7 linked regions of the Coturnix japonica genome follow. The protein of the gene in region 2 interacts with the protein of the main gene of each other region in a pairwise test. Links are inferred from orthologs where the notes say so. Each region holds a gene or a part of one and is shown on either strand. Other genes may lie near its edges.

Region 1 (3,500 bases), on a different chromosome or scaffold from region 2:
GCGGCAACCACCTCTTTTAGAAAATGCATTTGGAAAAGACTCAAATCAGTTTGGCAGTGTAGCTGAAGTGCCCTTGAAATTGATCAGAGAAGAAAGAACATAATATTGGCTGACTCACTTGGACATACATCCACTCACAATTACATTATGATATTTATGCACAAGAAAGTGATTTCAAATTATAAATCTCTTAAGCCATTACTACCTGAGACTTTTTAACAAATATATATATGTTAATCACTATTATTTCTGGATGATCCCATGATCAGTCTGAAAATTTGCTCATTTAAAAAGTTTTAACTCAGCCTAACTAGCAAACTGCATGCACACAGAACTATGGTAAGATATAGTGAAATCTTAATCTTCCAAAGAGAATAAATATATCTGATTAAAGATCAGCCTGGACAACTCAAAAGAAAGTATAGCTGTATCAATGGCAGAAGTACCACCCCAGACTACTGAAATATGCAGCCCAGAATGAGAGATCCAAATTAATATGGACAAGGAAGCCTTAAGTGTGTTCCCATTACAATGAAATTCTCCAGATACGGTAAACTTTTAAAGACAGCATAATTTTAAGTCTGTGAAAGTTATCTCAACAAGCTCACTGTCATATAAAGTCACACGGTCACTCTTTCGAAGATATACTGAACTACACCTGCTGGAAACAGTCTCCAAAGGAGAAGTTGGTACAGAATATCAGAAAGCAACAGAATGTAACAATTAAGTAGAAAAATATATCCTCAAATAACACTGGCATTAAGATCAGCCTATTAAGAATAGAGGAAAGCATACATCAAGAGGTAGGAAAAACAGAAACAGACAGCACTGTGTTTAGCAACACTTCTGTCACCTAGTAATAGCTGGAAAACACTAAAAGTTAGTATTCTAATAGCCGCATCTGCTTTTATTATAGAAATAAAATTGAAGTTAATATACCTTTTTGGACTGCAGCAACAGTTCTGTTTCAAGAAGCAAAACTCTGCTCAACAAATTATACCAGTCCTTCTCATCTATAATCACCTTCCCTTTCAGCCTCTCTTCTAAAACACGTAGCTTATCTTCCATCCAGTCTAGCTTATGAAGCTTTTCCTGGCAATCAGCAAGTTGATGCTGCAGGAGCTCCATCTGAGAATTACCTTCTATGACCTGAAAACATGGATAAAAACACGTTCTCTAACTCTGGCTTAGATGTAATTCATCCTTTGATCAATAAAATTAAATGCAATTTTCCACAATTTTAAGTAAGCACATTATGCTACATTAGAAAATTATCTTTCAGAATTGCTATAAACTAATAATACAATGAACTAAGCTTTTACAGGATCTGTTAACAGAACTGGCACTTGAAAGATCAGACTTTTTTAACCACTGAATATATATATATTGTGTGTATATATATATATATATATACACACACACACACACTAGTTATATTTAAAGAGAATCCAACTATTCTTTTAAAACCTCATCCCATAAAAAAGGTCCTGTAAAAAAAAAAAGTTAGGAATGCATTAAATATCTAATGCATATTTAATTTATATATTCTTACTTGTTCACATTTAACTTCCTCAACATCATCATCTAAGACCAATTCTTCTTCATTATCTCCCTCTGCTGGAAGGGATGGTGGATTAAGGGGTGTTGGATTAATAGGTGCGAGAGGAAGCTCATCACTAACTTCATCTCCTGAGTGTCGTTCTACAAGAGGCATCTTCTGTACACGCTTTAAAAAAATAAAAATGAAAGCCCACTGATGTTTCTCAGTACAAGAATATTCACATGCATTGGATAGATAACTGGTACAATACATCTATCACTCTAGCATTTAATTGTTAAAATTGAAGTTTTATCCCAACTGACTGCAAAACATAGAAAGCCACAATAGGCAGTTCTGTAACAGCCATTATCTTCATCAACCGCATGGAGATGAAAAAAAAACAAAACCATCAAGCATGATCAACTGTAAAAACCTACATGAAAGCACATATTCCAGAAAGAGTCTGACTTGCTACAAGTGAGACTACCTTTTAGACACACAACATAAAAACCCATTTCATACCTGTTTGGAATTCAGAGTGCCACTGAGATCAACAAGAACATTACCACAATTTGACCATATTTCACGTTTTGAAGGTCTGAATTTCTTCCTTGTTTGCGACTTAACCTTAAAAATAAAGAGGAGGGGGAAAAAAAAGTCGTTCTAATATGGAAACATTATTCTCAGAGGGAAAGAAGACTCCACTTCCAACCAATGCTAGCAGGCAAGAAAACTGCACCATACACACGTAAACACATTTAAGTCTCTGAAATACAACACTGTCTTAAAAAAATAATATAAAAAAATTATATCCTAAATTAACAGAGAAAACAGATCTCAAAACAAATACATATTCTTAACACCTATGCAATGCTGCATGAAAGTTGATCACAAATTCTGAACTTGCAAGGTTGAATGTCAAATAGGATAAAAGTATGTCACTTTCAGAAGCACAATTAGAAATAAAGCAAAGAGAAATTCTGAAGTTTTTATAAACTTAAATGAAATAAGCAGACAATTTTTTATTAAAATCATGTTTTTAAACACAGTATAGACGATAAAAAAATAATTTATGTACATCAAATATGATTAATAAAAAATAATCAGACTTAAAATGTATACTAACAAAACACAAATACAAGCTCATATTTATATTAAATGTTACCAGAACTTTAATATTGCAGAGGATTCTGGTTCTAAATCTACCTGTAATGTCTTGAGTTACACAAAAAATTGCTGTGTTAAGAAATAGAAAAGTCCACTTATCCATTAAGATACAAAGTATTTCACTGATCTTTGTTCTAGTAATTTTATTTTGTTTATAGTACAATACACTGGCAACTTGTGTCTTTTATATACTCAGCATTCAGGAATCTCAAATTGCAACTTTATACTAATTTTCCCCAAATTTTGATAAAAATATACCGATTTTTACCTTCTAGCTAGAGGACCAAAACCACATCAAGAATAACATTTTTCACCATGAAGTTACCATTTGATCAGTACCTTATTCAGTTTACTTAATTCCTTATGTTTTTTCACCACGCAGTTAATAATGTCACAAACAATCTGCATTTTTCTTTCTGCAAAACCAAACTGAAGAAACTGCTCTTTTGTTAGGATTGGTTTATAGTGAAATTGATCTCGAAGAAGCTGGAAAAAAGAAAAAGTTTGCTTTGAAAATCACTGTAAAAAATTATTGTGGAAATGAAATGACATGCTCCAGTTCTTATTTGTCTGCAGTCTTTCATTCTGCACTTATTCAGTTCAAAGCATTAGATTAGATTTTAACTTATAAGCTGTTACAAATTGGAGCTCAAACATAAAATTATTTTAAAATATCACATCAAATTAATTTCTTAGTTGTGTTTCTATTATAATTATTGAAAGGTGCTGTAACTTTTTTCTTCTGCTGGTTATGATTTCTGTGTGTCTATTTCTGACCACATAAATTGTTCAA
Region 2 (4,290 bases):
TGCTTCTTCTGCAAAATCTTCATCTGTTTCTGGGAGTTTCGGTGTTCTTCCAGCTAGGGTAGGAGAGCAGAGGGCAGAGATGCAGCAAAACAGACCAGGGCAATGCTGTGCCCATATAAGGGTACACAGGGATCAAATAGGTGTTCTGTCTACTCTGAAAGGACAGGAGCTTTATAATAAAAAGCACAGTCAGATGAATACAGAACCCAAGGTCTCCCACACACAGCCTTTCTCCTTCCTGAATTAACATCCTACTGGAATTGGTGAGAAGTGCACATTCCTTCAGGACCTCCAAGCACTCAATGCTTAAACAGAGCAGAGCTCTGAGTGCTGTCCCAGTGCTCACTGCAGCAGCGTCCTCCCACTGCCCCAGAGCCTGGAATGAAGAAACGAGGACTCACCAGCTCAGCGTATTTCTTGCACAGTGCTGCCAGTTTCTCCTCTGGCGTGCTCAGGGTGTTCAGGGTCTGCATCAACAAAGTGATTTCTTTGCCTGCAGTGAGACAGAATTAAACAGAAAGGTGACGTCACGTACATGGAGTTGTGGCTTATAAAGGCAAGGACAGGAGACAGAAACCAGGTCTCACACCTGTGACCACCCTGGCCCAGAGTTCCCATCTCCAGTGCCTATTTGGGGGTTTGTCCCCCAGATTTCACCACATACAGCAGTGAACAATTGAAGCAGCTGAGGAGAAACGTGGTTATCAGAGTAGGGAACCACCAAGGGGCCAACTAGACAACGCTGTGTGCAGCAGAGGGGAAACCTGCACAATTCAGAGGCTGCAGCAGCACTCAGGACTGATGAGTGTCTTTGCAACACTCAACGTTTCCTCCCATACCACAAGAATAAGATGCTGTACTATTTCCAAACACGTACCTAAGGTATTCATTTCTCTAACAGCACTTAGTGCAGTATAAAATCCACATCTGCACCAAAGTTCTCAGGCTGGCAGCACAACCACAGCAGGAAACCCCTTACCGAGGCCCTTGGCTTTCTTCTTTTCCTGAGCCTTCTTCTGATCCCGCTCTCCACACTCGTCTCCAGGTCGAAACTCTTCGGTCCCCTTCGTTCCTTCCTTCTCACCATTCATCTCGGGGCTGCCTGACTCCTGATCTCCGTTCCTCGGGGACTCACTGAGGCACTTCTCCACTTCCTCTGGCTCCACGGGCTCACTCTGCCCACCGTCCTCACCCGGACCCTCCTGGCTGGCATCCACGCAGTACGTGTTCAAGATGTCCTCAAGCTGCCTGCTCAGCTCCTCAGAGACATCCTGCACGGCAGCCCGGGAGGACTTTGTGTCGTCCTGTGCAAGGGGAGCTGTCGGAGATACAAGCACAAAGGCGTGATGCTTCCCCACGCCGCCTGTTCTCTGCTCTCCACGCACACACAGCAAGGGGAAGGTTTCCCCGAGCACCTCAGTGCACCAGGGCGGGCTGAACTCCCAGCACACAAACTGCTTTGTTCAGGCTGTGCCTCCAGCCAGCTGCCCTGACAATGGAGGTGCATTCCTAACAGCCTCTTTTGATCACGAGAGCATGACCGAGACCCTGACATCTGTCAGGAGCAAGAACTGCCCCCTCCCACCATCCTCTAACCAAAGCAGGTTGTGTGTGAGCCTTCCCTCGGAGCAGCAGCCTGCTAATATCCCCAGAGCCTTTTTTGCACAACAATAGATCTATAAGCTGAGTTTGCCTCTTTGCTCACATATACGAGCAGCTGTAGCGGCTCAGACCCACATCCCATCCCATCCCATCCCATCCCATCCCATCCCCATCCCATCCCATCCCCATCCCAGCACAATCCATCCCATCCCAGCAGCCCCTCAGCACTTCTCTACATCCACAACTCCTCCCAAGCAGAGCTGTACAGCATCAGCTATTGAACTCACTGCATTGCTGTGCATCTCCTACGTTCCACAGTTACTAAAACGCAGGGCAAGGTTAATTGAACCTGCTGTGAGCTGACCACCCATTCCTGTCTCAATGTCACAGAGCAGCACTAAAGGAACCGATCGCTCAGGGACTCTGTGCTGCTGGGATCAACGCTACGAGTCGCACAGAACGGACCGGACAGAACGGGCCGCCCCGTACCCAATACCGGGACGCGGCGCTGCCCGCACCTTCCATGGCCGCGCTGGGCTCTGCCGGTTCCGCCTCGTCCCCCGGATCGCCGCCGGTTTTGGCCGCGGGTCGCGGGGCCGCTTTGCCGTCTCCGCTCTGGTTCTTCATGGCGGCACCGCTCCGCGCTCAGCACCGGGAGAACCGCTGGAACGGAAACCGCAGCTGGAGCGGGGAATGGAGGGAGCGGACGGGAACCGGGACCGAACCGGGACCGAACCGGGAACCGGGACCCGCCGCGACCCAGCGCTGCGCCACGGGGACGGCATCGAGGAGCCGCGCGGCACCGGATCCCATGGAGCCCGGTATCAGCCCCACACAGCCCGGTATCCCCGCACATATCCCGGTATCCCCTTATAGCCCTGTATCCCCATACAGCCCGGTATCCCCGGATCCCCCCGGTCCGACCGGAGCCCCCGTCCGCTCCCGCCATCCCACGTGACCCCCGTGACGTCATCAACACCTCCCTTCCTCCCGCCGTGACGTCACGCCCGTACCCCCGTGACGTCACCGGCAGCGCTGTGACGTAGCGGCCGCTCCTCCCGGTGCGGTCGGTGCCGGTTGAGGCGGCAGAGCCCCGTTGTACCGGCGGGCAGCGCCCAGCAGCGCCCAGCAACGCCCGCTCCCCCCGCCGGTCCCGCACTGAAGGAAGCGGTTCCGGGCCGGGCCTCGCAGCGTGCGCTCATCGCGCAGGCGCCGCCCCGCTCCGCCGACCAATCAGCGCCGAGCAGCCGCGGGGGCCGCCGGGAGACAGAGGCGAGGAGCGGGAAGAGCCGCGGGAACTACAACTCCCGGCGTGCCCCGCGGCAGCCACTTCCGCCCCCCCCGGTCTCCACAGCCGCTCGCTCCCGGCCCGGCTCCGCTCAGCGCTTTGTTCGATCCCGGCCCGGTACGAGGAACCGACCGTGAGCGCGGCCACACACAGCGCTATAACGGGAGCAGCTCGGGCCTCGTGTGCAGGTAACGGCTCACAGCGCTATTACACACATTACATTACACAGGTGTTGGTTTCCTCTGGAGCCCGATTAGACAAACAGGTGCCGATAGATCGTATAAAATACACAGATCTGAGACTTTATGAAGGAAAATGTTTGTGAGCGGGACGGAAACATGGAAATGAGGCCCAGTGTGTTCACACAGCACCAGAACCGGGCTGTGGGGCTCCAATACAGCTGGGGATGGGGCAGCTCCCATAGTACAGCCCCCCCAGCCCCAGCCCTGCTCACAGCCACCAGCTCCGGCTGCTTCGACCCTTGTCAACAGCAGCAGCTCAAACCAACCAACAATATCAGGACACGGGGAGGATCCTCCCACAGCCCCTCACCCTTTGTCCATGTTCTGCAGTGTGAATCCAGCCCAGCTCTGCCAGGATCGCTGCATGGGGAGCGCAGAAAGGCCAGGGCTAAACTCTGCTCTTGGCAAATTAGAGTCTTTAATAAGAGTAACATGTGCAAAAAAATTAAATAGATCAACCCAGGTTTCCAGAATTATTCTCGTCTGAATACTCGCTTTTCTATTTCTGTTCTTACCCAACCCAACGCTGAAACCTCAATTAAGTACCCGAGGTAAGAAGTGACATTTGGGAGAGATCACCACAAAGAAAAATAAACCCAAGAGGTGCAACGAGTTACCTCAGTGTCCTTCCTCCACCCAGATGCCTGCTTTAAAGACACGTATGCAGCAGCAAAAAGAAAATAAACGTGCAAGACATCCCATTTTCTTCATGAGGATAAAGCACTCTGTCTATTCGTTTGAAGGAAGAATTGTTTCCTAACAGGTGGAGTGAGCGTCCAGCCTTCCGTTTGCAAGGAGGAAATGGGATCAGCAGCTTCTCCCAGTTGTTTTGTGGCAAATTTGTGGTGGTCTTTTTGCCTGGGGCGTATTATAGCTGGAAGCCTTCCATAGGGGCTTCAGGTTGCTGGAAGATGAATTGCTGCTGGTTCTCATCTACCTGGGGAGCTAAAGCAGAGTCATCCTCTACTCCAAAGTAGTGCTCAATCAGATCAAATGCCTTCTGATAAATCTCTTGATTCTCGTGGCTCTGGAGGAATTCAATCTTATCCAAGCCTTAGAAAAGACAAAAGTGGAATGTGATGAGACAGGAGATCCTAACGTTCAAGCTGTCCCGATCCATCCTCCACCCTTCCCCCTATTCATTGCTTGTCTGTGTTA
Region 3 (4,179 bases), on a different chromosome or scaffold from region 2:
CCCTGCACATAACAGGGGGGCTGAAATCAGATGATCATTGTGGTCCTTTTCAACCCAGGCCATTCTGTAATTAATTCTATGATTCTTTACTTCACTACACCTCTTACCAGGAAAAAGGAAGAGCTCTAGTAGTTATTTCATGGGCATACATTTAACAGGTTTAATGTCCCTTCCAACCCAAACCATTCAATGGAAACCCAAGGACAGAAAAAGAAGAGCCACTCACACTAACAGACCACCAACGCCTTCTTTCAAAGCATATTTTACACAATTCTGATCATTCTTCTAGTTCAACTACAATTTCAGACTCAGTTCCCAACCCTAAATGGAATTAATTAAAGCATAAGTAATGGTGCACAGAAGTATTAAGAATGCTTTGATATGTTACCTCAATATCTACACCAACCTGACAACAGAGCATCCATGAGGAACCGCATACACCTCCCGGTTCTACGGATCCCAAACAAAGCTCCAATGTTTGCTTAAGAACTTCACAAGCCATAATGAATGGCAGTTTAAAAGAGCATCATCAAGAAACTCCAGATCAAGACCAAGCCTGTATTGAATTACATTGCAAAGTCACAAGTTAGCGTTTTTTTGGTGTTGCTTTTACATTTTGGGGGCTTTCCCTTGTGTTTGTTAATTTTCTTTTAAACACAGTGGATCAGGAGCTGCTTCTAAAGAAGGTTTTGTAAAAAGCACACAGATATGATACAGCACCTTTCCTTCCCTGCAGGCATTCAAGGCCAGGCTGGATGTGGCTCTGGGCAGCCTGGTCTGATGGTTGGTGACCCTGCACACAGCAGGGGGAACTGGATGATCACTGTGGTCCTTTTCAACCCAGGCCATTCTATGATTCATTCCATGACTGCAAGAGAGCCACGAAGCTAAGCTTAGGCACAAGTTATCAGCAGGAGCCTATCTAAACACTAAACCAAATGTGCACCTTACAATCATGATTTCTCCACTTTGGCACTGAGAGAAAAACCCGAAACATAACTCAACATAAATGTTACAAATTTAAGTCCTTATCACCAAATCTCACCACCCCAAAAGCACAAAGTTAAAGAGCAGCAGTGATAAGGCTAAGAAAAGCAGGCTGCTTTCTATACCACTCACAACTGTTATTTATGCTGGTACTGACAAATAATGTGACGAACGAGAGGGCTAAGCTGGAACTGCCCTACAGCAATTAATTCTTTCCATCTTCTCCAGTTGCTTGTCAGCAACAACACCCTTTTACCCAAACTCTCCACTAATCTAAAATATCCTTTGGAAACACAGAAAGCAACAGCCTCAAACAGACAATTCTGGGTTACCTCTATTCCTTCGAGTGCACTTTGTAATATCAGCTGGCAGTACAGGATCACACACACTTACCAATGAAAGGCAGGAGGACAAATAAAAACCAACCCAAGTAATTCTTCAGGCCAACGTTTCTCACATTTCCCAACGTGGAAATGAGAATTTTAACTTCTTTTTTTTTTTTTTTGCCTGGAAAGCCACAGCAGCCAACAGCAGAACAAGGAAGCTGACGCACTGCACACTCAGTTTCAGGAACGTGAATAAGAAAACTGAAAGTACAAAGCGTTTTTAAAGAGCAGCACTGCACAGCTGATGACCAAACTCAAGGCAGTGGCTCGAGTGTTATCAGAGCGTTCTCAAGCAGCACACAAACCATTGGCAAAGGGCTCCCCAGCCTATCTAGGGCTTAACAATCACTTATGAATAAGAGGAGCGCTGCACAGAATCACAGAATTGTAGGGGTTGGAAGGGACCTCTAGAGATCATCGAGTCCAACCCCCCTGCCAAAGCAGCTCCCTACACCATGTCACACAGGTAGGCGTCCAGGCGAGTCTTAAATATCTCCAGAGAAGGAGACTCCACCACCTCCCTGTGCAGCCTGTTCCAGTGCTCCGTCACCCTCACTGTATAAAGGAACTTCCTATGTTGTACTTTCATCCCATTACCCCTAGTCCTATCCCCACGCACTACTGAAAAGAGACCAGCCTCACCACTATGACATATACATATATAGCACTATGGCTCTCCAGGTCCATCAGGTTGCCTAGAGAGGTGCTGGATATCCCTGCACACAGCCAAGGTCAGGCTGGATGGGCTGTGAGCACTGATGGAGCTGTGTGTCCCTGCTCAGTGGGACAGGTGGTCTTTAAGGTTCCCTTCCAACCCTAAGGATGCTCTGTTGACCATGAACCCACAGACACAGCCTGTTTAGCTCCGTGCACATCAGCCCAGCCACAGTTACCTGGATGCCACATTACCTGGATGGCACACGGAGCCTCTCAGGGCAGCAGCCACCTCAACTCCTTCTGCCAACATCGAAGGACGACCTGAAAAACAACCAACCACACGAGAAAAGAAAAAAAAAGAAAGAGCCACTATGACAAACAGCCGGTTATCGGCCCCGTTCAGCTCAAGCTAAGACCCAACTTCATGCTGCACCCTTAGCGGGAGGCTCCACGTCGGTACACGGACGGGCTGCCCATGTCACGGCCTGGAGGGCCCAGCACTCCCAGCACCGAGCTTGGGACGGGTCTCCTTCCTCAGCCCCACGCCGCCCTCCCCGTTTCTCGGCTCTCGGAGCCCGCCGCTATTAGCGCAGCCCAATACATAGACAATCCGACCGGTCCCATTGATGCCCGCAGCCCCCACACACCATAACCGTGTTGGCCGCCCCGCCCCGCTCCGCCCGGGCCGCATCCACCGCCGCTCCGCCTCACCGTCCCCACTCCAACGGTCCCCGGCCGCCTCACGGCGCGCAGCCAATCGCAAAGCGTCTCCGCGGGGGCGCGCACCCTCCGGCCAATCCCACCCCGCCCTCTGCCTCCGAGAGCCAATGGCTGAGCGAGCCCTCGTGCCTCGCCCCGCCTCCTCACCTCCACAGCCAATCGGCGAGCGGACGCTTCTCCGGCGGCGGACGTGCGTGAGCTCGCCCCGCCCCTCCTCGGGAGCGCTCGTGCTCTCCAGCCAATCAACAGCCGGCGGGGCTTCGCGCGCTCCCGTCTCCTGCGCAGGCGCAGTGGGCGGTCAGCGCCTCTCCTCAGGGCGATGAGGGGACGTCGAGATGGCGGTAGTGAAGCTTCAACCCCCTCCACATCTAATACCAGCCCAGGCTGCTCAGGGCCACATCCAACCTGGCCATGAACACCCTCAAGGATGGACGGAGCATCCACAGCCTCATTGAGCAGCTGTTCCAGCACCTCATCGCTCTCACAGTAAATAACTTCCCCCTGACATCCAACCTCAACCTCCCCTCTTTGAGTTCTCTCTCAGTAACACTTTAATTCAGCCCACTGTTATGTTTTCCTTTTACCCAACTGGGATGCTGTGTAAAACAATTCTACCTCTTCTCATCCAGCGCTGCTGCCTGCCCTGTGCCCCCACTGCATTGGAGCCATCCGCATCTGAATGGAATTACAAGAGCAAAACACCTCCTGGGACTCAGCTTCAGCACAGCTGCCATTTAAAGAGCTGTGGTTTGGCCCAGCTTCAGGGGGAGGTCAGCAAAGGGTCTCGGTAAGTGTGAAGGGAGACGGCAAACCCAAATTTAGCAGCAGGGAAGAAGAAATAAAAGCAGAAAAATAAAGCCTTGGGGTTGGTTAGGTGTTGTAGGGAGAAGTGGAGGACTTGGAATAACTCAGTGTATTTTTCAATTAATCTGAAGTAAAAGGAGATATTTTCCAACAGGCTGTGTATGGGTTTTCATGTGCCTGTGTTCTTTTTCTTTCTTTTCCCATAGTGATGCAAGAATACTAAAAGAACCACAAAGAAACCACAGAGACCCAAGGAAAGGGAGCAGCCCGAGCTCCCCAGCTGTGAGGTCTCACCAGCACTGAGGCAGCAAAGTCATTCCAAGGACAAACCTCTCCTCAGTGATGAATGGTGCAAAATATGGCGCAGATTGGAGCCGCTGGCTGTCGGAAAGGTGAAGTGCAGGAGGACAGCACCACCTCAGGTCTGGTCTTACAACAGGAGAGATTTGTGCAGAATTGGCTGCTCCAAGGGGAGCTCTTGATGGCACATTGAAGAGCCAGAGCATGAAGCTTACACAACCATCGCTTGTCTGAGCTCACTGCGTTGTGACAGCGGGTGAGCCGGACCCTCCTTCATACGGCATCTCCAAATGTGACGTGGTTCATGGAGTGATTAGAAATGTCA
Region 4 (4,125 bases), on a different chromosome or scaffold from region 2:
AAACCCTTTCACTTTTCCAGGTAGTCACACTGAAATGATTTGATTTAGGCAATATGAAATCTGTAATAGCCTTAAGAGAAAATTACTAACTTAGATTACTAACTTGAGCTCACTTGCAACACTCTTTACAACTGTTTGTATGTTATGTACGATCGCGGATACTCACCTTTCCTTGCCTTTTCAATTGATTTCAGTTTTTCCTTTGCTTGATAAACCGCTGTGGCCTAAATGTGAAAAAAAACAAGAAAGAAACAACACTATCTACAGCAGGGGAGATTCAAGCTGGACATTAGGAAATAATACTTCTCAGAAAGGGTGGTCATGCACTGGAATGGGCTGCCCAGGAAAGTGGTGGAGTCACCGACCATGGGGGTGTTCAAGGAATGACTGGATGTTGTGTTGAGGGACATGGTTTAGTGGGAGCTATTGGTAATAGGTGAACGGTTGGACTGGATGATCTTTTAGGTCTTTTCCAACCTTGGTGATTCTATGACTCTAAACCAAAACTTCACTGTATCTTTCATTTGTATCCTTCTGTATTAAGATCTGTGTGACTAAACCCTTGATGTAACTGCATTTTAGGAGAGAAACTTCTCCGGAAACGCTTCAAAATATACAGAAACAAAGTAGATTTGTAGAAAATTATCAATATAAAGTAACTGAATGCCATGATAAGGAAGTAGTTTTACTGGGAGGGGGGGAAGACAATAAAACAACCAACTCTAAAGCTCTCACAAAGTTTTAAACATTTCAAACTTCTCAAACTAACACAAAACTTTCTCCAAAGCTTTTCCCCTCCCTACTAGCAGATGCTCAGAAGCAAACACATCATTATGAACTTACCAGTATGTGCTCTGCTTCTTTCAGTTGCTTCTGCAGCTGCTGAATGTCATTATCTCTCTTTTCTACTACCTTTTCTAAAAGCTGCATTTCATGATGGATTTTCCCCTGATCAACTGCCAACTTCATTAGCTCTTGAAACTCTCCATCTCTCTGAATCAGCAGCTCCAGGATCTATTAGACAAGAGTTTTGTAGAACTTTTAATTAGCTCAAGTAACAACGCACCCTCCACCACACTGCAAAAAGCAACTGATATCCACAAGATTATTATTTCTTGCTCAGCTTGCAGAAACAGCCTACGAAGCATGAAACAAATGAACAAGCAATCAAAAACATGAAACCAAGAATGCTTTTTCAGTGATGCCAAAGCTTCATCATCATCGTTAGGAGTCCTCAGTCTCAGGACTAAGTCTCAGGACACCCAGGAGGGGAGTAAACTCTTCGAAATGGCTGACAATAGCAGGACATGGGGAAATGGTTTTAAGTTAAAAGAAGGAAAATTTAGGTTGGATGTTAGGGGGAAGTTCTTCACTAGGAGAGTGGTTAGGCCTTGGAACAGGCTGCCCAGGGAGGTTGTGGATGCCCCGTCCTTGGAGGTGTTCAAGGCTAGGTTGGACGGGGCCCTGGGCAACCTGATCTAGTAAAGGTGTATGTTTGGTGGCCCTGCCAGGCAGGAGGGTTGGAACTACATGATCCTTGAGGTCCCTTCCAACCCGGCTCATTCTGTGATCTGTGATTCTGTTAGTTCATGTACAAAGGGAGAAAATAAGAAGACATAGCATTTACCTGCAAAAAGGATAGCAACTAAGAAAGTCAATTTACCTGGCTCTCTTCTCCTGGTTGTGGAAGCTTCTGGTTTCTTGAAATTGCCAAAATTTCAATTAGTTCCCTAAAAGGAAAACAGTATTTATGCAGTTTTCTAAGCTATTATTTGTAAATCACACCAAATCATCCCCAACTGAGTATTTACATCATTATTAAATCATTCTTGTTCTTAAGTATTTTACAGTTTTACATCACAGTGTTGACAGGGATTTCACTTTTACTTCCATAAACATAAGTATTTCACAATGGTGTATCAGCTGTGCACCAAACTCACAAGAATTAGCTTAAAAGAGCTTCTCAAACAGACCTCTTGATCTTGCCTCCATTTAGTTTTCCCACCATCATGTAGAGCCACAAAGAACCTCAAATGGAGCAATGAAGTTACCATCCTTGAAGGTGCTCAAGAAACATATAGCTGTGGCACTGAGGGATGTGCTTAGTGGGCATGGTAGGGACAGGGTGATGGTTGGATTAGATGATTCAAGAGGTCTTTTCCAACCTTAATGACATTCTCTACGACTAGAATAAAGTTGATTGCGACTGTGAAAGGCCCAGCTCCATGGTACTGCTGATCACTCACATGTTGCTGACAGGCTTTGGGTTTGCTATCGCAGAATCATTAAGGCTGAAGAAGACCTGTAATTACATCCAGTCCATCCATCAGCTCTTCCCACCATGCCCACTATCCCTGTGGCAGTCACTGAGCCACACGGCAGGTTGGTAGCGAGTAATAAGAGCTGCTGGAGAGACAGACTGCTTGGGAGGCAGACTGCACAGGTGCCAGCGAGGAACAAAGCTCCGAGCACACGAACCAGAGCACGGACACAGCTCTCCTGTTGCCCCCCGGGCCCCACGCGTGCGTTCGGCCCCAGGCCGCCGCTCATCCTTCAACCCAACCCCGGCTCCTCGCTCGCTTTCCCCGCCGGAGCCTCGACACCGAGTCTCGGCCATCCCATCGGGTACCTGGCCAGGAGTTCCAGATCCTCCAGCGCCGCCAGCAGCCTCTCCCTGGTGCTGCTCCGCTCACCACCTCCCCCGGCCGCCGTTGCCGCAGCCGCCATCACGCTCGCGGACCCGCCCCCGCCGTAATCCAGCCCCGCTCGGGCGGGACACAGCGGGACACAGCGCCTCCAGCGGCCGAGGGACTGCGGCACGACCGGCAGGAGGCGGGAAGCGGCAACGGCCGCCCTGAGGGGCGGGGAAGGGCGGGACGGCGCGGGAGGCTGGGGCGTGGGGAGCCGCCATGTCGGGGGGCGGAGATGACGTTCGCTTCGGCTTTAGGTGTGGGCTTGTGAGCGCCGTGTCATGGAGCTAGTTCTTTGTAGGTGGAACTGTGCTTAGAATCGTTTCTGAGCCTAAGTTCGTAACCACCAGCTCATCCCGCCATGCACACTAACCGTGTACCTCAGTGCCACAGCTGCCCGGCTCTTGAACTCCTCCAGAGACGGTGACTCTAAGAGCCTCTAAATGGGATTCATACCTACTCTAAAGATCTAGAAAGCAAATGATAAAGAAAGGGGGTATGACTGAATTCCATCTTATCATTTCGTACTCAGTGTCTGTGGGTGCTGATGTCTGAAAATCCTTTAGGTGGCTTTATCAGATGGAGGAGGAAAGTGGCTGAAGAATGTTAAGAGTGATGCTGAAGGAGCCAGGATCACCTCTTGCCTAGGTTTCCTATCCCACAAACAGCAGGACTTCACAGCTATCAAGGAAAAATGACCATCCCAATTTGCCAAGGCTTGCCCATAGTAGCCAACCGCAGCTCTGCTTCATTACAGAGGTCTGCTTGCAATGACAGGGCAGCAAACATGCAAGTGCTGCCCTCTGTCATGTCAGCAGTTGAGCTAGAATTAAAATATACTGAGTTGTATGGGTTATGTTTTGGGGTTTTTTTAAGTGTTGCTGTAATTCGGGTGGTTCTGTAAACAGGCCTCTGGCTCTGGGTGGGGACACAAAAGAAGCCAGACTGAAGCCAGTGGAATTTTTTACATTCATGAAATCTTCTGGTAATATGAAGAGATCAGGACGGAAGGTGGAGGCAGATGAGGAGTGAAAACAAATCCAGAGCCAGGGTTTATGTCTGGGGTGAGGACTTAGGCAGAAGCCATGGTGTCCTCAGCCTCCACATTCTTCTCTTGCCAGCAGGCAGCTGCCGAACCCGCCAGCAAAGCAGTGATTCACTTCTCTCTTCATTAGAGAAAGCTTCAGATGAATGATAACGTCTCTGGATGTTCTAATACTAACGCTGATTATCTTTTTACCTTCTGTAATAAGTACGTCCCTGAGAAATTTACACTTATTAAAAAAATGAAAGGCAAGAAACTCATTAATCAACGATCCTTTGAATTGTGGTTTAAATAAACAATTCAGCGTTATGAGATCCATGATGAAGCAGTGAGATTTGGCAACCCTGAAATGGAGATAACCGCCAACGAGAGTTATTTAATATTCATTTA
Region 5 (4,023 bases), on a different chromosome or scaffold from region 2:
TCACAGATTAAGGATGCGTTTTCAACCAAGCAGCACTATAACATGGAGCTCGTGACGAAGGAACACCTCCTCCTCCCACATAAAAGCGTCACTCCCTACAGCAAAAGAGCTTCTATTCCAGTTCATATTTTATCCTGAAAACTTAATACACAAAAATAGTACAGAATAACTGAAGCCTTTCATTGCAACACAGAAGCTGCTTCCATAGAGCTTTGCTAGTGCTTTAAGAGGTGCCAGACTCCTGCCTCTACCAAAAACAATCCTGGTTTTATTTTCACAAAGTCAAAGCATCCAGTTCTGATAACACAGACTTGTAGATTCCTATTCCAAGGACTTTGATTCCCTCCTTTATGTTCTGCACCCCACAGGAACTGAATGTGCTTGTGCAATAAATACTATCATCGCTCTACTGTTAAAATTAGGTAATTTCAGTTCAAGAGGTCAAGAATCAAGAGCTCTTTTGTTCTGCAGTTAATGCAAAGACATACATCACAGGCAGCTTACTATCCCCTGGGCTCGCTGTCTGGATAGAAAAACCTTTTCCCTCCTCTTTCTAGATATGTGCACATTAATGAAAACAAGACAAATTAAAAGAAAATAATAATAATAAAGTAACTCCACCAACACATAACCAGACAAATGAGTCTGAGATAGAAAATGAAAGTAAGAAGCAACAAACCACCACAGTGAATTTAATTTTACAAAGGAAACACTGTCACTATACCTCCTCAATGCCAGCAATGTTATTTACTGCCAGTTTTTTGAGTGAGCTCTGAAGTTTTTTGTCATCAGCTGTCGCTGTTCTGTGCACCACCTTCTTCTTTCTGCGAGCTGTTCCCTGGAAAAGAATCAACAGAACAGCCTGCAACGCTCAAATTCTCACAGCACTTTCAATTTAAAGTCACCTCACACTCAGCAACATCTCTTTTCCGAGCTGTAAGAATGCTCTGTGGCAGAAAACATGTATTAACTTTCTTCACTTATAGTTTTAATTGCCAGTCCCAGCTTTAAAATCCTTCTTAACTGTAGAAGCCAGAAGAAGCACAGAAGTATTCCCTTTTTCCAAAAGCTGGATTATAAAAAATATTAGCTTATAAGCAACATGTAAAAACACTGGTTAAGAACTTCATTTCATCCAAGATGAAGCAAATGTAGAAATCCACTCTTTTGTAAGTAGTTAACAGCTTTAAACTGCTCCAAAGACAGCAACTCAAGAACTTCTAATTTGCAAGCTTTTGTACAACCCCCAGACTCCTGCCTATAGTTAGGAAATGAATGCTCACATGGAGTCATCTATATGCTTTCATAGAATCACCAAGGTTGGAAAAGACCTAAAAGATCATCCAGTCCAACCTTTGTCATATTACATACGGGCTGGCATAGATAAAAGAAAGAGCCCAGTGCACAGCCAGATAAACACTGGAGCTCATACCAAAAAGAAACTTCCCAACAGGTAGAAGAGAAAGAACTCAAGCATCAGGTGAGCTTAAACTGACCTGAATACAGGTCACAACAAGTCACTGATTTAGAAAGAGCTTGCACTCGGGAACCACTCATACAGTTACCCGTGAACTGAAATACAACTGCTTTTCAGGCAGTTTTAAGATGCAGACTGTTTCAGGTCCACATCACATGACAAATCCTTTTTCCAGGCCCCTACATGCCTTCTAATGAGAAGTTTCGCTCTGTGCCTACAGATCCAACCACAGCAAGTACTACAGCTCTCGTGGCTTTCTTACCTTTCCTCCTATTCGGACCTGAGCTTGAAGCTTGGCTAGTTTTTCTTGATTCATAGTGTTGTGTCTAAAGAATGAGGTACAAATACAAGTTAACTAGCAAAATATTAAGAAAAAAGTCACTGAAATAACTCAAGGAAGCACGTGAACACAAACATCTCATAAGCACAACATCTAAATAACACAAAGCAGCATCTGCACCACGATGACGCAAACCAACGCTGTGTTTGATGTTGCATCAGTTCGAGGCACAAGCCGTGAATTTCCAAGTCTGTCAGCTCAGGGCCGGACCCACCTCGTTACTGACTCAGCCCAAAAGCAGCACGGGCTGCTCCAAAGCACCTTTGTGCTGAACGGAGCCCAGGGCGAGGCTGAGCCAAATAACAAACCTACAATGGATCTGTGCAGCTCACCAGCTGGCTCCAAACTCGAGAGGTTCACACAGTGCCACAATATGAGCGCGGAGCTCTGGCAGCCATCGCTCCAACCCAATGGCGCGTAAGTGAAGCACCTGGGCGCTGCCACGGGCCGAGCGTGACCTTTAAAGGCCAGGAGACACGAAGCCCGGTATGGGCTGAAAAACGGCGCTGCCGCTGATCAGCCCCGAGCGGCCCGAAGAGGCGGAAGGAACGTGCACTGATAGAGCGACAGCGGATGGAGGCCAACAACAGCGCCGGGACCGGCACAGCGGGGAAGGGAACGGAGTATGCAGGGCGAGTATCCGGGCACACAGAGGCCGGACGGGACACGGCGCAGACACTGCAGCGCTCAGCACCGGGCACGGCCCCGCAACCAGGGCCCGGCCCACGGGGACGGAACGGGGCCGAGTGCCGCACAGCCCGCAACGCATCACATCGCACCGCACCGCACCGCCCTCCCGCTGCCCCGCAGACCACGAGCCCACGGGCCGTGCAGCCGCGGGCCGTTCTCACCTGGTCCCACAGGCCCGTCCGCAGCTCCGCACGCGGTGAGAACAAGATGGCGGCCGGGAAGGAAAGAGCGCCGCACAGAGAAAGGAAGGAAGCTTCGCGCCACGTGACGCCGCTGCGCCGCCCGGCCCCGCACGCGGATTGGAGGCTGTGCACGCACGATTTGCATAGCGCGGGGCGGAGCGGGGCGCGGGGCATGCTGGGAATTGTAGTCCGATCCGGGATGAACATGGCGGCTCCCAGAGGGCCCGGCGGCACCGCCCACATCCGCATTGCGTCACTTCCGGGGCTTTAAAAAAGGGAGAAAAAAAAGGAAAAGGAGAAAGATCCGCGGTGCCACCACAGCGCCCGGCTGGCACTGCGTGTCACAGCGTGTCACTGCGTGTCACTGCGTGTCACTGCGTGTCACAGCGCTGCTGGGAACATGGGGCCTCAGCACGCGGCATCCGCACTTTGCCTCTGTCTGATCGTGGCCAGCGCCGCCGCCGAGGGACTCGGAAAGGGTCAGAGAGATGGGAGAGAGCGGGGAGGGGGGGAGGGGTGTTGGGGCTGTGGTCGGGGCTGTTGTCAGAGCTGTTGTTGGGGCTGTTGTTGGAGCTGCTGTTGGGGCTGTGGTTGGTGCTGCTGGTGCTGGGGCCGGTCTGTCCTGTATCGTCGTGGTGGCCTTTGAATGCAGCATTCAACGTGCTGGTACTCGGTGTAAATGAAACCTGTTCACCTCACGGCTCCCAGCTCCCTCAGCCCATCCGAGTCTGCACGTCAGTGCCTCGCTGGTAGCTGGACCAAATATTGGATGTGTTTGTCATACGCGTTCACGGTAGTTTGTACTGGGAGATAAGCCGAGGTCATACAAACACTGTGGCAGCAGTTGCAGTCTGCCAGATGCTGAAGGAAGGCACCACAAGGCTTTGCTCCGCTCTGCAGTTTCTTTGCTACAGGTGTTTGTTGGAGGCACTGCCTGCCATGCTGTCAGTGCTGGCAGCTCGTGGCTCCTGGTCCTACTGTAACTTCCCGCATTATCCCCATGGAGGGGATGAAGCCTGTGCCGGTCACTGAGTTACCCCAGCCCTCAGCAATGGGGAGGGGAAAGTCATGGCTGAGTTTGGCCTTTTGGTACAGCCCATGTCACTGCAGAGATGGGACCTCAGAGGAGTTCATCAAGGAAGGCTCCCCTTATGTCAGATCCCCTCCATCTCAGCCCTTCATGTGATGGTTGTGGCTAAAAAATGGCAGTCTCTGTTTTCCTGTTGTTTGCATGTTAGCTGACAGAACAAGGTTTGATACCTGCTTGTTGGATACGTGTTTCACATGCTGTTTGGTCACTGCAATGCTCAGAAACCTGCATAGCGCTGCTCCTT
Region 6 (4,234 bases), on a different chromosome or scaffold from region 2:
CCTCAAATTCATGCCATAACCCACGTGCTACATCAGTGTTAATTGGTTCTCCCTTTAGAATCATAGAATTACCCAGGTTGGAAAAGACCTTGAAGATCATCAAGTCCAACCGCAGCCTAACCAGATGCCCTAACTCTAAAAACCCTTTACTGACCTAATCATATCCTGAGGCACCACATCCAAACGGCTCTTAAACACAACCAAGCCTTGCGGCAATATCAGGAACCTAACACCTTGGAGCCTATTCAGCACCATAACCCTAATTCTGTAAAAGGGAAGTATACTATACTAATCCACACTAAACTTGCCCACATCTGGCGACAAATGAAGGCACATTTCTTTCAGAATAGCTCTGTTTATACCGCAAGAACCTCAGAAATTATCCTCTTAGAGCTCACGACAAACAGATCATAGTATCCACTATCTACAACAGAAATTCACTACAAGAATGACTCCAGAGTGAGGACCGTCGGCAGACCTCAAGGAATCACCCCCACCTGCCATAGCAGGGCCACCAAAACAATAACACAACTTACATAGATCAGGTAATGCCCAGTGGGACCCCGCTTTACCACCTGCCTTGGAAACACTACTAAAGACGGGCGCATCCACAACCTCCCTGGGCAGCCTTTTCCAGGGCCTCAACCACTCTTACCTAGCTTAAAGAACTTCCCCCTAACATCCCAACTGCTAATACTTCCTCTTTTAACTTAAAGACCTAATTTCCCCGTAGTCCTGCTATTGATCAGCCCTTCCAAGAGCTGTTACTCCCTTTCTGGGCAGAATAATGTTCCCTTCAGATATTGGTGAAAGGCTGCAATGAGGTCACCCCGCAAACCTATCTCTTCTCCAGGCTGAAACAAAGCACCAACTCGCCTCAGTATTCCCTCTGCGCTCACTCACTGTTTTTTCAACTGTCTTCGGCAACTATTTCCCATTTTAGGGATTTTTCCTCCATGGCTACTAAATGGGGCTTCTCATCTTCATCAGTAGATTCCCTTCCACACACCGAGACTCGCTCAAGCCCGCGCTCTCCGCCGGCTTCATTGAAGTTTCACCGCGGTGGGGACTCGGTCAACCACAATCTCCAGCCACTTATCGAGGGAGCGGTTACCTGTTTATCATTCCTCCGTATAGTGTAGAGACTGAACCAAAACCTAAGACCTGTCGAGTTCTTCAAACGATGCTTTCCATTGACCTCTCGAAGACATAACATCGGTATTCCTCCTCCTTGGTGAAGATTGAGCTGAGCAACGTGTTTTACCTGTGTCGCGCATATTGATAACACTAGGTTCTCAGGCGAAAGATAAAGGATTTGTGGGAACCACTAACTCCACTTCGAGCTGGTATAACCACGAAATTGTAGGCGTTATCTGATAACAGCTAGCTCATTTTCGATCGGTAAATCTCCAATTTATAGCCATCTTGGTGCTGTTAATAAGTTTTACCTGTATAGTAGTAAAGTGCTCTATGTGCTTGTTTACAAACGTAATAACTACTACGGATTCCTATCCTCACTTAAGCTGTACAGCAAAGGCAATACGAGCGTTTGTGAGACATAAGGGTAGAGAACGGAGTCATATATGTAATTTGAGACCCTTAAGAATCTAGAGGTAAAAGGCCTGCTATGTATAAAGAAAAGGGGGAATTGTAAGAGTGAGCAAGAGCCACCAAAATGGATGGTAAAGGTAACACTCTTGCATAGAATAGAAAGGGGAACTTTCACAGAAACCAAGACAAAGGGTAAACTGTAGATAGTGTACCATTCTAAAAGGGCAGGGAAAAGGGGAATTACAGACACTTAGTCGAAAAGAAAAACCAGAGAAGAGGCGGCAATAAGATAAGAAGTGTAAAGATTAGATACCCCCGGGCAAGGATGATCGCTGACATGGGAGAACGATACCAGCAGATAACACCAAGTAAGAAAAAAAAACAGGCAAGAATTTCACCCCAAAAACAACGGCCAAGGGTCACAGAATCACAGAATGACCCGGGTTTGGAGGGACCTGCAAGGTTCATGGGAGTTCCAACCCCCTGCCTGGCAGGGCCCACCAAACATACACCTTTTACTAGATCAGGTTGCCCAGGGCCCCGTCCAAACCTGCGTCTGAACACCTCAAGGACGGGGCATCCCACAACCTCCTGGGCAGCCTGTCCAGGCTACCACTCTCCTTAGTGAAGAACTTCGCCCCTAAACATCCAACCTGAAAATCTTCCTCTTTCAACTTAAAACCATTTCCCCCGTGTCCTGCTATTAAGGGGCGGGTCAGTTGGAATGGGTCAGGGGGAATGAAGGAATGGGTTGCGGGGAACGGGGAGTCATAGGGAACGTAATGAATATGTAATCAGAACTGGAGAGAGGAGACTATCTGATTATGTATTAGCTTAACCTATATCTATAACACACTTTATTATTACCCCACTATACCCCACAACCCAACCCCCTGCTGCCCTGACGCCCTTTGGGCCTATGTGACCATCCCCCATAGCCCGGCCCGGTCCATCCCGCACCGCTTGCCGCCGAAGCTGGGCCTCTCATCGTCCGAATCCCGCTCGGCCCACACGCCATAGGTGGCCTCCTCCTTGGTCTGCCGGTGGCGATGCCGGTGTGGGTTGAATTCGTTCTGAAGGTCCCAATCCGACACTTCGAAGTTCTCCATTTCCACTCCATCCTCCCCGTCCGTGCCGTATAAGTGTGACATCGACATGATGGATCCGAGCGACGACCCGGCCCCGCTCCAACCTACCGCTCTTTATGGCGGCGGGACGGAACCGAACCTCATCACTTCCGGCGACGGAAAAATACGTCACTTTAACCATGCCCTAACCATAGAGATGCTGGCTAGAAGGAACGCGCCCCTCTAGGCCCCCTGTCGAGTGAGCAGCTCCTCGGGAGGTATCCCGAGAGGCAGCTCTGTGACATTAAATCACTTCTCTAGTCATGAGAAACGAATCACAGAATGACCCGGGTTGGAAGGGGACCCTCAGAGGATCATGTAGTTCCAAAGCCCCCCTGGCCTGGCAGGGCCACCCAAAAATTACACCTTTACTAGTCAGGTTGCCCCAGGAGACCCATACGACCACCCATAAGATCGCCCATAGAGACCCATAGAATCCCGCATAGAGACCCCATAGATCCCCATAGATCAGCGTTAGCCCAGGCACGTTCCAACCTGCCTTGGAACACCTCCAAGGACGGGGCATCCACAACCCTCCCTGGGCAGCCTGTTCCTAGGGTTCAACCACTCTCCCTAGTGAAGAAGCTTCCCCCCAAACAATCGCAACGCTAAATCTTCCCTCTTTTTAACTGGTAAAACCATTTCCCCGTGTCCTGCTATTGTCAGCCCTTTCCAAGAGTTTACTCGAATGAGTGCAGCCAGGAGTGAAACGATTGACCTCATATATTAATTCTTAAATAGAATCTGTCAATGACAAGTGAACGGAAGAGACAGTCCGCCGCATTGTCACCTGTACAACAAATGCTCTATACACGGTTATGACACCTATTCTGATCTGCACGTATAAGGAACAGCATTACGAGACACTGAAAATAACAGGAAATCTCTTTTCCAATGCACTTTGGAGGGTCGGTCGTGCTTCATTTCCACAGATCTTTCACCACGGAGCATCCAGCGAAGGGAGACGAGTGGTATCGAAGTGTACAACGTTTGGCCTTTGCAAATAAATGCAAATACATTCCTGGCACAGCAGTCATTTTGGCAATATCAGCAAGCAATATGCTTGGATAACAGATCTCCATCGGTGCAACTGCAAACTCTTCTTTACGGAGCCACCCTGGGCCGTTTGCAGCAGCCTGCAAGGGAAGAAACAGTCTGAGCAGTCAGGAAGTCCCAACAGCCAACTTGAAAACCACTGTGAGACAGCAATTGTTGGATGCTGAGCTCCAACCCCTGCGTGATGGGCAACAGCACCTGTTTGTACTCAGAGCCTTTGACACACAAACAGCTGCTGCAGAAATCAAGGAGAGCTGTTCTGTTCTCCCAAGCTGGCAGCAAACACCACCACCCCCTTGTGAAATGCACACAGGGCACATCCCCCCTTCTGCTGGGGCTCAACACACATACACGACCCCACTCCTGCCCTCTCCACACCCGGTAATAACACCCCCAAGTGGCTGGTTGTGATTTTGCTGGATTAATCCTGTTTCCAGAGCTCAGAAAAGGAAGAGATTTGACAAACTGTCTCCCATTGCTCTGAAAACCTAAAGCAACTG
Region 7 (3,931 bases), on a different chromosome or scaffold from region 2:
CACCTTGGTGCAAGTAGCCTGGTCTAACCAACCAGAATTGTTCCAGCGCCACGTTGCATAACATGACCACATTTATTCCTGTTTTGGGTTTTGTTTGTTTGGGAAAAAACAAAAAGAAAAGAAAGAAAAAAAAGCCTGAGTTTTATCTCTGCCTGATTTTACCCTCAAACTAAAGGAACAGGATGAGCAGCATCTTCTGATTTACCTCAAAGGCAGATCAGGATCGCAGAATAGAACCACAGAATCACCAAGGTTGAAAGATTCCCAAGATCATCCAGTCCAACCACCCACCTACCACCAATATTCTTCCACTAACCCACGTCCCTTAGTACAACACCTGAATGTTTCTTGAATACCTCCATGGACAGTGACTCCACCACCTCCCTGGGCAGCTCATTCCCATGCCTGACCACTCTTTCAGAGAAAAAATTGTTCCTAATATTCAACCTCAATCTCCCCCGGCACAACTTGAGACAGTTCCCTCACCCTATCACCAGTTACACCAATCTCCATTCAAGCAGTTGTAGAGAGAGCTGAAGTCTCCCCCGAGCCTCTTCTTCTCCAGACAGAACAATCTCACTTCCCTCAGCCATTTCTCACAAGACTTGCGCTCCAGACACCTCAACAGATTTGTTGCCCTTCTCTGGACACACTCCAAGGCTTCAGTGTTTTTCTTGTGGTGAATGGCCCAAAACTGAACAAAGTACTCAACGTGCAGCCTCACCAGAGCTGAGTACAGGGGTACAATCACTTCCCTGCTCCTGCTGGCAACACTATTTCTTACACAAGCCAGGATGCCATTGGCCTTCTTGGCCACCTGGGTGCACTGCTGGCTCATGTTTAGCTAAGCACCAACCAACACCCCCAAGGCAATTTTCTTTACACTTTTAAAGGATACGATGTTTGCAATTTCAGAAGCTGGCAGAACAAAACCTCTAAATTGTTGTAAACATCAGAAGCGTTGGCTGGCGCAGTAAGGCCAAACGCCTGAGACTGCGGTGGCCCCACAAATGGCCAACGAAGCTGGGTCAGCACTTCTTCAAAGTCACTGCAACACAAAACACACACTTTACCACCAAGCTACGGCACAACATGAAATGAGGGAGTGATGAGTCGTCCTGTACCTTGACAACTTGTCCTTAAGAATTTTATGCCAAAATTTAACAGTGGATCTCACAAACGAAAGAAGATGAGAACAAGATGACTCCTGAAGTTTAATATCCAGTTCTGCCATAGACGCTAGAGTACTGGCTGCCTCCGGAACATTGTTGGTCATCAGATACTGCTGAATGTTATCACTATGAACACAAGAACATAAATACAAGAAGAGTTGAGACAAAAATTCACTAAAGATAACACAAAAGAACCATCATATTGAGAAACTGGCAGAAAACATGCTCAATCTGAAATACTTTAACGAGGTTACCACTCCCATCACATACATCCTACAGCAAGGATTCACGAAACAAGTTCTTTGTGTGAAGTTCCTTAAGTTGCCTGTCACCGAGACCTGAAGGCAGAAGGAAAGAAGGGAGGCCCGAAGTTCTTTGAAGCACTGCTCTTTATGGAACTTGTTCAAAGATCTGCTTTTCCTCACGCTTCCCAGGAGGAAAACTGGAAGCAAATTTCAGACTGCAGCACACCTGTCACATTTTCATAGCTCAGACCAAGTTGTTTCATAACTTAAGTCTCTCTGTACAAAATCTGACCCAAAGGAATCTTCCAATTTCTGACATTCTTTACAAGCATTACACAAAGTTTTCCACTGAAGGAAGCTACAAATCACATTAACTAAAACAGCACTGTTCATTCCCATTACGATAAAATCAGTGTACCAGAATGAAAACTCAGAATCACGAAGTCTGAAGCGTAACATTTCCGCTCAAGATATTCCAGTATTATTTTAGTTCTTACACCATAATTTACAGTGGGTGAAAGAGTTCCATCCACATATCGACACAGTTACTGTTCTCTTCCTTAAGCCAGAGCAATAACTTCCAGTTCTCACCAGAGAACACGTTAACAGTTTATATGGCCAGATGACAACTTGCTGCTCTCGTTTATTCCTTAAATGTGATTATTTAACACTGAATCTTTGAAGAAGCTGTGTGATACCACTAGTAAGAACTCTCCATAAGTACATCGGCTTTACCTTAACTCTTCTATTTGGGAAATCCATTTCAGATAGGCCAGGTGATGCTCAATCTCCTCCACCTGGCTGATCAGCACCCCGAGATCCTCCATCCACGGCTCAGCTTTCTCTAAGTGGCTGCTGATGGAATCGGACAGGAGAGTTTCTTCCTCTAGAAGCCGATTCAGAGATTGTTTTGAGTCCTCTGCATTCTTTAAGGCGTTCTGAATTCTTTTAGGGACTTCGGATGAAACCGTGAGAACCTGCATTTACAGACATGCATTAAGCCTCACACAGAAAAATCACACGGAGAATGAGCACAGACACTTACCTGTTCTTCCAGCTGCCTCTTGTTTTCAGACAGCTTCTCAATGAGGCTGCCCAGCTTCTTCAGAGAATCATAGTCATTCCCAACTTCTCTTTCCACAAATTCTGAAACGTAGTACGGGATATCGCAGCGATCCGGATCTCTGACGACTTCTTTCTTCGGCACATTAACGGCTGCCATGCCTTCTTTTTTTCCGCAATGTTATTTACGTAATTTCTACTTGGTTACCACTAAGGGAACACGACCAACTACCGACCTACTGAGGACACGGGGCTCCTGGGAACGCAGGGCGATTCCTCTTCACCTGAACATTAAACGAGGCCTTTAATAGCCATGCCGGCCTTTAAAACGAGGCCTTTAATAGCAATATCAAACCGCCGGCCCCGCAGCCCCTCGCTCCCCGCCCCGCCGCGTCAGCACAGCGCGGCCCAAGGCCGCACACATCACAGCCGGGGCGGGCCCAGAGGCGCATGCGCACCCGCCTCCCCCTCAGCCACCCCCATGGCCGCGCCCGCCCCTTCCACACAGCTCCCCCATAACCCCACCTCAGGGAGCACAGAGCCGGGAGCACCTTCCGTTCACGGCGTTTTATTCACACAAGCAGCACGAATTCCCTATTTGGTTTAGAATCGTTTAAAATGCAGCTTCGTTCTGCCTCCCAGCAGCAGGCTGGCTCAGCCAGGGACAGAGCGAGGCGCTACGGACTGACACACCGTTGTGTTTGGTTAACTATTCCCAGTACCTTGTCTTGGTGAAGCTGAAAATGCACACATTTTCCCCGGAAGAAGCTCGTGTTTAATTAAAACAGCTGTGCCCTGTGGCAGCACACAGCCAGCCCGGCTGACCGCAGCAGCTTCTTGGAAGCAAACAGCCATCAGTACCTTCACTCAGCTCTAATTTTCCTAATGCTGTACTTTAATATAGAGATCTCAAGGTGTGCTGAACTGATAAAAACATTCACTGCTCGCTGAAACAGAGCGAGACGAACATGTGCCCAGGTCAGAAGCCATAAGCCTGCTTCTCAGAGATGCAGCAACACAGCTCAAGCGACCTCATGGTCCATTCGTTACAAAGCACCAGTCACTAAGGCCCGTATTACATTACAACCGGCATCTTGCTAATAACTACTTAATTTAACTGCTTGCACTAATAAAAACTTAAAAAATACAAATCTCTCACTGCCACCCTTCAAAGATTTGTACAGAACGTAAGTAGGAAAACACTTTGTACATGTTAAAATCTAGGCCGTGCCAGCAGTTCACTCAGCGTAACCAGGTAGTGTTCAGCTGCGTTTGGTTTTTAATGCTTGTGTCCATCTTCAGAACTTCTCGGATCGCCATAGTGGCGTAAGTGGATGGCGGAAGGGAGAACTCCATCTTCAGTGCCCGGAATTTACCATCTATCGTAAAGAGGAGAGACAAAGCAAAAAGAAAGTAAAGAACATAAATAATGCTTACTCTGAGTGCCATCCA

The links.
Region 1: the proteins of TXLNA (region 2) and CEP44 interact in binary tests that used the Homo sapiens proteins (3 or more experiments, as listed by UniProt). The two-hybrid records come from large-scale screens. The link is inferred for Coturnix japonica from reciprocal best matches to the Homo sapiens genes TXLNA and CEP44.
Region 3: the proteins of TXLNA (region 2) and DTNB interact in binary tests that used the Homo sapiens proteins (3 or more experiments, as listed by UniProt). The two-hybrid records come from large-scale screens. The link is inferred for Coturnix japonica from reciprocal best matches to the Homo sapiens genes TXLNA and DTNB.
Region 4: the proteins of TXLNA (region 2) and MED4 interact in binary tests that used the Homo sapiens proteins (3 or more experiments, as listed by UniProt). The two-hybrid records come from large-scale screens. The link is inferred for Coturnix japonica from reciprocal best matches to the Homo sapiens genes TXLNA and MED4.
Region 5: the proteins of TXLNA (region 2) and BTF3L4 interact in binary tests that used the Homo sapiens proteins (3 or more experiments, as listed by UniProt). The two-hybrid records come from large-scale screens. The link is inferred for Coturnix japonica from reciprocal best matches to the Homo sapiens genes TXLNA and BTF3L4.
Region 6: the proteins of TXLNA (region 2) and TFIP11 interact in binary tests that used the Homo sapiens proteins (3 or more experiments, as listed by UniProt). The two-hybrid records come from large-scale screens. The link is inferred for Coturnix japonica from reciprocal best matches to the Homo sapiens genes TXLNA and TFIP11.
Region 7: the proteins of TXLNA (region 2) and RINT1 interact in binary tests that used the Homo sapiens proteins (3 or more experiments, as listed by UniProt). The two-hybrid records come from large-scale screens. The link is inferred for Coturnix japonica from reciprocal best matches to the Homo sapiens genes TXLNA and RINT1.

The regions. Positions count from the first base shown.
Region 1 is NC_029519.1:38,911,846-38,915,345, reverse strand, and holds part of CEP44 (centrosomal protein of 44 kDa), read right to left. Parts: intron 3,194-3,500; coding exon 3,047-3,193; intron 2,168-3,046; coding exon 2,063-2,167; intron 1,727-2,062; coding exon 1,553-1,726; intron 1,150-1,552; coding exon 940-1,149; intron 1-939. UniProt on the Homo sapiens protein: Centriole-enriched microtubule-binding protein involved in centriole biogenesis. In collaboration with CEP295 and POC1B, is required for the centriole-to-centrosome conversion by ensuring the formation of bona fide centriole wall.
Region 2 is NC_029538.1:4,544,835-4,549,124, forward strand, and holds the start of TXLNA (alpha-taxilin), read right to left. Parts: upstream 2,801-4,290; 5' UTR 2,630-2,800; exon of another isoform or gene 2,616-2,629; intron 2,266-2,615; 5' UTR 2,230-2,265; coding exon 2,121-2,229; intron 1,319-2,120; coding exon 980-1,318; intron 494-979; coding exon 402-493; intron 54-401; coding exon 1-53. Other genes in the region: KPNA6 (importin subunit alpha-7), read right to left, coding at 4,001-4,185. UniProt on the Homo sapiens protein: May be involved in intracellular vesicle traffic and potentially in calcium-dependent exocytosis in neuroendocrine cells.
Region 3 is NC_029518.1:95,642,749-95,646,927, forward strand, and holds the start of DTNB (dystrobrevin beta), read right to left. Parts: upstream 2,801-4,179; 5' UTR 2,742-2,800; exon of another isoform or gene 2,678-2,741; intron 2,352-2,677; 5' UTR 2,283-2,351; intron 740-2,282; exon of another isoform or gene 721-739; intron 1-720.
Region 4 is NC_029516.1:150,970,056-150,974,180, forward strand, and holds the start of MED4 (mediator of RNA polymerase II transcription subunit 4), read right to left. Parts: upstream 2,801-4,125; 5' UTR 2,728-2,800; coding exon 2,630-2,727; intron 1,731-2,629; coding exon 1,664-1,730; intron 1,015-1,663; coding exon 844-1,014; intron 225-843; coding exon 167-224; intron 1-166. UniProt on the Homo sapiens protein: Component of the Mediator complex, a coactivator involved in the regulated transcription of nearly all RNA polymerase II-dependent genes.
Region 5 is NC_029523.1:21,661,798-21,665,820, reverse strand, and holds the start of BTF3L4 (transcription factor BTF3 homolog 4), read right to left. Parts: upstream 2,801-4,023; 5' UTR 2,669-2,800; intron 1,804-2,668; 5' UTR 1,794-1,803; coding exon 1,740-1,793; intron 839-1,739; coding exon 725-838; intron 1-724. Other genes in the region: TXNDC12 (thioredoxin domain-containing protein 12), read left to right, coding at 3,090-3,168.
Region 6 is NC_029530.1:6,267,218-6,271,451, forward strand, and holds the start of TFIP11 (tuftelin-interacting protein 11), read right to left. Parts: upstream 2,801-4,234; 5' UTR 2,709-2,800; coding exon 2,512-2,708; intron 1,768-2,511; coding exon 1,764-1,767; intron 1-1,763. UniProt on the Homo sapiens protein: Involved in pre-mRNA splicing, specifically in spliceosome disassembly during late-stage splicing events. Intron turnover seems to proceed through reactions in two lariat-intron associated complexes termed Intron Large (IL) and Intron Small (IS).
Region 7 is NC_029516.1:12,589,369-12,593,299, reverse strand, and holds the start of RINT1 (RAD50-interacting protein 1), read right to left. Parts: upstream 2,801-3,931; 5' UTR 2,640-2,800; coding exon 2,463-2,639; intron 2,395-2,462; coding exon 2,153-2,394; intron 1,299-2,152; coding exon 1,125-1,298; intron 1,049-1,124; coding exon 899-1,048; intron 1-898. Other genes in the region: PUS7 (pseudouridylate synthase 7 homolog), read right to left, coding at 3,722-3,858. UniProt on the Homo sapiens protein: Involved in regulation of membrane traffic between the Golgi and the endoplasmic reticulum (ER); the function is proposed to depend on its association in the NRZ complex which is believed to play a role in SNARE assembly at the ER.